Callithrix jacchus: one gene and its partner. The protein of the gene in region 1 interacts with the protein of each later gene in a pairwise test. Links are inferred from orthologs where the notes say so. Each region holds a gene or a part of one and is shown in the gene's direction. Other genes may lie near its edges.

What was found. The genes of interacting proteins can lie anywhere in the genome.
Region 2: the proteins of LSM1 (region 1) and PSMB5 interact in binary tests that used the Homo sapiens proteins (3 or more experiments, as listed by UniProt). The link is inferred for Callithrix jacchus from reciprocal best matches to the Homo sapiens genes LSM1 and PSMB5.

What each region holds. Positions count from the first base shown.
Region 1 is NC_133514.1:38,988,029-38,990,963, reverse strand, and holds the end of LSM1 (U6 snRNA-associated Sm-like protein LSm1), read left to right. Parts: intron 1-194; exon of another isoform or gene 195-299; intron 300-1,873; coding exon 1,874-2,044; 3' UTR 2,045-2,370; downstream 2,371-2,935. UniProt on the Homo sapiens protein: Plays a role in the degradation of histone mRNAs, the only eukaryotic mRNAs that are not polyadenylated. Probably also part of an LSm subunits-containing complex involved in the general process of mRNA degradation.
Region 2 is NC_133509.1:57,404,947-57,409,340, reverse strand, and holds the start of PSMB5 (proteasome subunit beta type-5), read left to right. Parts: upstream 1-1,510; 5' UTR 1,511-1,518; coding exon 1,519-1,731; intron 1,732-2,688; coding exon 2,689-2,995; intron 2,996-4,394. UniProt on the Homo sapiens protein: Component of the 20S core proteasome complex involved in the proteolytic degradation of most intracellular proteins. This complex plays numerous essential roles within the cell by associating with different regulatory particles.

The sequences.
Region 1 (2,935 bases):
CTTGGGCAACAGAGCAAGATCCTGTCTCTAAAAAAAATGAAAAATGTTGCCAGGCGTGGTGGCTTACGCCTGTAATCCCAGCACTTTGGGAGGCCGAGGTGGGTGGATTGCCTGAGGTCAGGTGTTTGAGACCAGCCCGGTCAACATGGTGAAACCCTGACTCTATTAAAAATATATAAAATGAAAAATGTTGTGCTTGCTTTGGCAGAGCATATACTAAAATTGGAACAACACAGAGAAGATTAGCATGGCTCCTGCATAAGGATGACATGCAAATTTATGAAGCCTTCCATATTTTTAAAAGTAAATAACATGAAAAATGTTTATAAAGCATTCAAAAATAAAAATATTAAGCATACTGTGCCACATGTAAATGAAAATGAATTACAGTCAGTATTTGCATTGTGGGTTTTTGGGTGAGAGGGGGTTGTTTTTAAGACAGAGTCTCACTCTTATCCAGGCTAACTGCAGTGGTGTGATCGTGGCTCACTGCAGCCTCAAACTGCTGGCCTCAAGTGATCCTCCCCCCTCAGCCTCCTGAGTAGCTGGGATTACAGGTACATATCACCATGCCCAGCTAATTTTTTTTTTTTTTCCTCTTCAAACAGATTCTTACTCAGTCGCCCAGGCTAGAGTGCAGTGGTGTGATCTTGGCACACTGCAACCTCTGCCTCCTGGGTTCAAGTGATTCTCTTGCCTCAGCTTCCTGAGTAGTTGGGATTACAAGTGTAAGCCACCACGCCTGGCTGGGGTTTTTTTTAGTCAGTATATACATAGAAAAATTGTAGGGATATTAACCAAAAATGTTAATTCTCCGTATTGGAATTATGGATGATTTTTTAATTTTTCCTATTTGTCTTTTCTATATTATCTGCAATGAGCATGTACTTTTTAAATAAGGAAAAGGAATTTTTTATTAGGCAACAATTTTTTTAATAGTGGAGAAAAATATTGGGACCAAATTGGTTTAGTAACCTCAATGGTCTGCTGAGGTTTTCTCTAGAATACTTCTTGCCATAAAGGAAAAAAAGAGTCTTGTGTTATAGTTTAGAGACTACAGAGCCGGTGCGATGGCATATACCTGTAGTTCCAGGCATATACCTATAGTACTTGGGAGGTGAAAGCAAGAGGATCCCTTTTATTTTTGCCTTTTTATTTATTTATTTATTTTTGAGACAGAGTCTTGCTCTGTTGCCCAGGCTGGAGTGCAGTGACATGTTCATGGCTCACTGCAGCCTTGACCTCCAACTTCCCAGGCTCAGGCAGTCCTTCCACCTCAGCCTCTTGAATAGCTGGAACTGTAGGTGCACACCACCACATCTGCTTTTTTGTGTGTGTGTATGGAGTTGGGGTCTCACTGTATTGCCCAGGCTGGTCTCGAACTCCTAGGCCCAAGTGATCCTTCCACCTCAGTCTCCCAAAGTGCTGGAATTACAAGCATGAGCCACCCCACCCATCCTTAAAATAATTTTTTAAAAAATTTTTCTAAGGCCACACTGCCTCAATAACCTCCCTCTTGGATTCTCTACAGCCGGGGAGATAGCTGTCTATAAGCAGCCCTAATTTTTTTTTTAAGGAGATTAATCCTTGACTAATAGAAAATGAATCCTAATATGGGATTTTGGATCATATAAAGCTTTGTTATAGAAATACTGATCACTGTAACCACATTCATCGTAAGTATGTATCTTATCGTAGTGTTGTCAGGCACTTCTTTGAAAAACTTACCTGTCCCTAGGAGAAGGATATTTCAGTCCTGTCACAGTTATGAAAAATAATTCGAGCCTGATACAGGAATCCATCTGCCTTTAGATCGGTAATGTTTTCTATTCTTGGTCTTCAGGTGAAGTTTTCAAACCTGTCTCTTTTGTAGGACTTGGAAAAGGAGAGTGACACACCCCTCCAGCAAGTATCCATTGAAGAAATTCTAGAAGAGCAAAGGGTGGAACAGCAGACCAAGTTGGAGGCAGAGAAGCTGAAAGTGCAGGCCCTGAAGGACCGAGGTCTTTCCATTCCTCGAGCAGATACTCTGGAGGAGTACTAAGTCTTGCCCAGAGGCTGTTGCTCTTGAAGAGTAGGGGCTGTCACTGAGTGAAAGTGACATCCTGGCCACCTCACACAGTTGATCAGAGACTGTAGAGTTTTGAAAAATCACTCTTATTTTTCATTCTTTTACACATGAAACATGAATAAATCATGTAGGTGGGTTTTTTTTTTTAAATAGCAAAATCATTGTTTCAAGAAACAGTGGCATAGACTCCTTCACATGTCACTGGCACCAGCAACTACTTTATATTGTTCTTTGTGTCCCGAATTAGAGTTTACAGGGACATTCTTCATTTACTTGTAAATAAAATATGAATCTCAAAAGTGTCATGTTATTTCCAAGTTTGAGTTGCCTCTAATGAATAGAAAAAATGAAGTTTCTGTTCTCAAAGGTATTAGAATCCACATACTGGAATTTTCCCCCTTCAGTCACAGTTTCAAGTAACTGGCTACTTAGGAAGGAATACTTTTATTCTGATCATCTCAAGGGTCCTCTCCTCTTTTCATGTTTGTATCTGATAAGAAATACAAATTTTCAGCCTTGAGGAGGGAGCTTTCAGCTGAGTTTCCCAGTTACTGGCTACTGCAGAAGACTCATGTTTGAGAAACAACATCAACTGTTGCTCTTGCTCCTGCTTCACCCATGGCTGATCTAAACTAAGTCCCCATGAGACCTAACATGTTCTTAAGGTGCTTGGTTCTTCAGATTTTCTGCTAATTTAATTAGGTTTTCTAGTCCTTTGAATTGAGTCTTGAGTCTCTTATGTTCTTATCAAAAAGGAACATAAATGGAATTTTAGTGACCGAAAGCCCATAGTGATGGCATTTTGTGTGATTGTTGAAAAGTAATGATTGCATAAAAAGCTTAACAGATTTGTACTTCAAGGAT
Region 2 (4,394 bases), on another chromosome or scaffold:
TGCAATGAGCAGAGATTGTTCCACTGCACTCCTCCAGCCTGGGTGACAGAGCAAGATTCCATCTCAAAAACAAAACAAATAACAGCATATGCAGAGTCTGCTGCAGGAAAGAAGGGGCTGAATTGGGCATCCAGCCCAATTCAAGAGGAAAGTGGAATTTCGATGTTGATAGATGTTGTTGCTAGGATCCAACAAGGAAGGCCAGACACTGACTTCATAGAACCATAAGGCAGGAGGCAACATTTCATACATATGCACACTTTCTGGTTTGTTATAGTTCCCAAAAGATTCGAAAAATGAAGGTGGGTGGAGGGAGGCAATGAAATATAGTACATTCCTGAATAAAGAGCATCACCTTGGCAAGTTGAAGTTAGAGAATCTCTTGGTACATATTTATGCAGTCTCAACTGTCCTCCAGGCTCTGAGATGGTAAATTACTAGTGACAATTATTCAGGTCTGAATTGAGAGTTTAGTTTATGGATAAACTGAACCCTTTGCTTTTTCTTCTTTCATCTGCCTTTTAGGCAATTCATTACTTGTTTGAATTTCCACCAGACGGTAGGAGTCAAGAGAATATTGGATATTAAAAACCGGTTACTGGGCCGGGCGCGGTGGCTCACGCCTGTAATCCCAACACTTTGGGAGGCCGAGGCGGGTGGATCACGAGGTCAAGAGATCGAGACCATCCTGGTCAACATGGTGAAACCCCGTCTCTACTAAAAATACAAAAAAATTAGCTGGGCATGGTGGCGCGTGCCTGTAATCCCAGCTACTCAGGAGGCTGAGGCAGAATTGCCTGAACCCAGGAGGCGGAGGTTGCAGTGAGCCGAGATCACGCCATTGCACTCCAGCCTGGGTAACAAGAGCGAAACTCCGTCTCAAAAGAAAAAAAAAAAAAACCGGTTACTGTTAAGGCAACTGACAAGAGGTACAGCACTTTTATTTTGTTGCGCTTTTTACCACAAATTACTGTGGTTTAATATCATGGGGAAATGGTCTCAGAATGGATCATCATTTTACCAATGGACCAATTTTAGAGGGTCCCCTTAAACAAGATGGCAACCCAAGGCGCGTTAACAAGGTGCTGGAAGCAGCAGCGATGTAACCTGTTGCTTGGACACCAGGCTGTAGTGTGAGGACTCACCACTAAGAGTTCAGAACCGATTTTCAACCAGTCACTCCCTTCTCAAAGATGGCCGACCTCACTTCCCTCGCGCAACATGGACGTTTCCAGTCACTTCCTGTGAATTTGAAGTTACTCTGATCCAAAACTACGTGCGAGACCAAAGCCAAGATGGCAGCTACATCCTTTCAGAATTAAAGGTTGGTGAAGCCATCTATTTCCCCCACCGTCTTCAGTGAAAATAGTCTTTCGCATCTGGCTGTTCTTTCTGGAGGCGTGGTTGCCAGCAGTCAAAATGGCTCCTTTCCGGAATAGATTTAATAGGAAGTGAAGCTATGACGGCGAGGCGTTGCCCAAGCCTATCTTTGGTAGGCGTTGTCAGAGTTAGTTCTTTATGCCCACACTAGACATGGCGCTAGCCAGCGTGTTGGAGAGACAGCTACCGGTGAACCAGCCCGGGTTTTTCGGACTCGGGGGTCGTGCAGATCTGTTGGATCTGGGTCCAGGAAGTCCCAGTGATGGGCTGACCCTGGCCATGCCAGGCTGGAGTGTCCCAGAGGAGCCAGGAATCGAAATGCTTCATGGAACAACCACCCTGGCCTTCAAGGTGCGGAGCCAGCCGCCCTGCCAGGCTGAGTACTGAACGTCCGCGACCTGCCTGGCCTCCCAGCCTGACTGGAGTTTGCGGTGGCCTTGGCCACCAACCCAGGCGGAGGCTCGGTCCTCTCTTTCGGACCGCAGTGGTTTTGCTGTTTCATTGCCCCAGGAGGCCCCTGTCCTCGCTCTGGTTGGAGAGGGTGGTGGCGGGGTTGGGGGTAAGTCGGGAAGGAAGCAGAGGCTTCTTGGGTTAATGTCCTAGGCGACCCCAGGTTGCTGCTGTTCAGAAACTTTTAGCTGGGAAGGGGGAAAGACCGCAACAACAATGAACCTTGGCCGAGGGAAGGCTATTGAAACCGTTTACCAAAGTTTTGGAAACTGGGCGGCCCCTCAAGGCAAGGGTATCTGAAACTGGCATGAAGGGGAAGCTTGGTGAGGGTAAGCATTGTACCAAGAACCAGACATTTGGGGCATCTTGCCCAACTCTGCAGTAACTAGATTGAACAAGTCATTCGATCTCATTGAACCAGTTTCCTCATCTATAAAATGATTTTTTTAAAGACAGGGTCCCGCCCTGTTCCCCAGGCTAGCGTGCAGTCGTGCCAGCGTCTCAGCCTCCAGAGCACACATCACCATGACAGGCTAATTTTTTTACTTTTTGTAGAGATGGGTTTCCCTGCGTTGCCCAACTGGTCTCCAGCACCTGGCCTCCCACCTTGGCCTCCAAAATGCTGGGATTACAGGAATGAACCACCGCACGCATCCTGTAAAATGAATTTAATATGGGTCATACCCATGTCAAAGGATTGAAGTGAAGCTCAAGTGACATTAATATGTGGAGAAGTATACTGTGAAGTATAGAAGGACAGAAAGATGTGCTGGGTTTCGATTGATGCAAAAAGAAGTATGTAGGGGTGTTTTTGTGGTCTTATGTGGCCTGTTTTGTGTTTTTCTCTCATCTTAACAGTTCCGCCATGGAGTCATAGTTGCGGCTGACTCCAGGGCTACAGCAGGTGCTTACATTGCCTCCCAGACGGTGAAGAAGGTGATAGAGATCAACCCATACCTGCTGGGCACCATGGCTGGGGGCGCAGCAGATTGCAGCTTCTGGGAACGGCTGTTGGCTCGGCAATGTCGAATCTATGAGCTTCGCAATAAGGAACGCATCTCTGTAGCAGCTGCCTCCAAGCTGCTTGCCAACATGGTGTATCAGTACAAAGGCATGGGGCTGTCCATGGGCACCATGATCTGTGGCTGGGATAAGAGAGGCCCTGGTGAGTTAAGCTGCAACCACGTGGTCCTTGGGCTGACACTACAGGGAGGAGGAGTTGGATGGGGAGATGAATTAAAGGGTTTGGTGTCAGTGCTGAGGATGTGTTGATTAGGTCTTTAGCCCTTCCTTCCTCTCTCTTTTTTTTTAAGACAGTCTCACTCTTGTCAGTCAGGCTGGAGTGCAGTGGCATGATCTCAGCTCACTCCAGCCTCCGCCCCCAGGTTTAAGTGATTCTCGTGCCTCAGCCTCTCAAGTAACTGGGATTACAGGTGGCCACCACCACACCCAGGTAGTTTTGTTTTTTTTTTTTTTTTGGGGGGGGGTTTTGAGACAGAGTTTCGCTCTTGTCGCCCAGGTTAGAGTGCAATGGTGTGATCTCGGCTTACTGCAACCTTCATCTCTCAGGTTCAAGAGATTTTCCTGCCTTAGCCTTCCAAGTACTTGGGATTACAGGCACACACCACCATGCCCAGCTAATTTTTGTATTATTTTTTTTAGATGGAGTTTCACTCTTGTTGCCCGGGCTGGAGTGCAATGGCGTGATCTCAGCTCACCACAACCTCCACCTCTTGGGTTCAATTGATTCTTCTGCCTCAGCCTCCCAAGTATCTGGGATTATAGGCATGTGCCACCAGGCCTAGCTACTTGTATATTTTTAGTAGAGACGGAGTTTCTCCATGTTAGTCAGGCTGGTCTCAAACTCCCAACCTCAGGTGATCTGCCCTCCTCAGCCTCCCAAAGTGCTGGGATTATAGGCGTGAGCCACTGCGCCTGGCAATTTTTGTATTTTTAGTAGAGACAGAGTTTCACCATCTTGGTCAGGCTGGTCTTGAACTCCTGACCTCAGGTGATCCATCCGCGTCGGCCTCTCAAAGTGCTGGGATTACAGGCATGAGCCATCACGCCTGACCTAGTTTTTTTATTTTTAGTAGAGACGGGGTTTCACCATGTTGGCCAAGCTAGCCTCAGCCTCCCAAAGTGCTGGGAAAACAGATGTGAGCCACTGCACCAAATCTGTTCCTTCTCTTTATTCAAGGAAGTCACTGTACTATAGGGAAAGGCATGGAGTTAGATCAGCTGTGTCACTGACTACCTGTGATAGTAGGCATGCATACACACATATTTTCACAGCCTCTGTTTTATCATCTGTTACCTTGGTTAAGTGAGGTAATAAATGTAAAGCTACTAGTATAGTATCTGACTCATATTTTTCCATCTGTTCTCTCTCCTATAGACTAAGACTAGAGGCTGGGTGTGGTGGCTCATGCTTGTAATCCCAGCACTTTGGGAGGCTGAGGAGGGCAGATCACCTGAGGTCAGGAGTTCAAGACCAGCCTGACCAACATGGTGAAACCCTGTCTCTACTAAAAATACAAAAATTAGCCGGGCATGATGGCAGG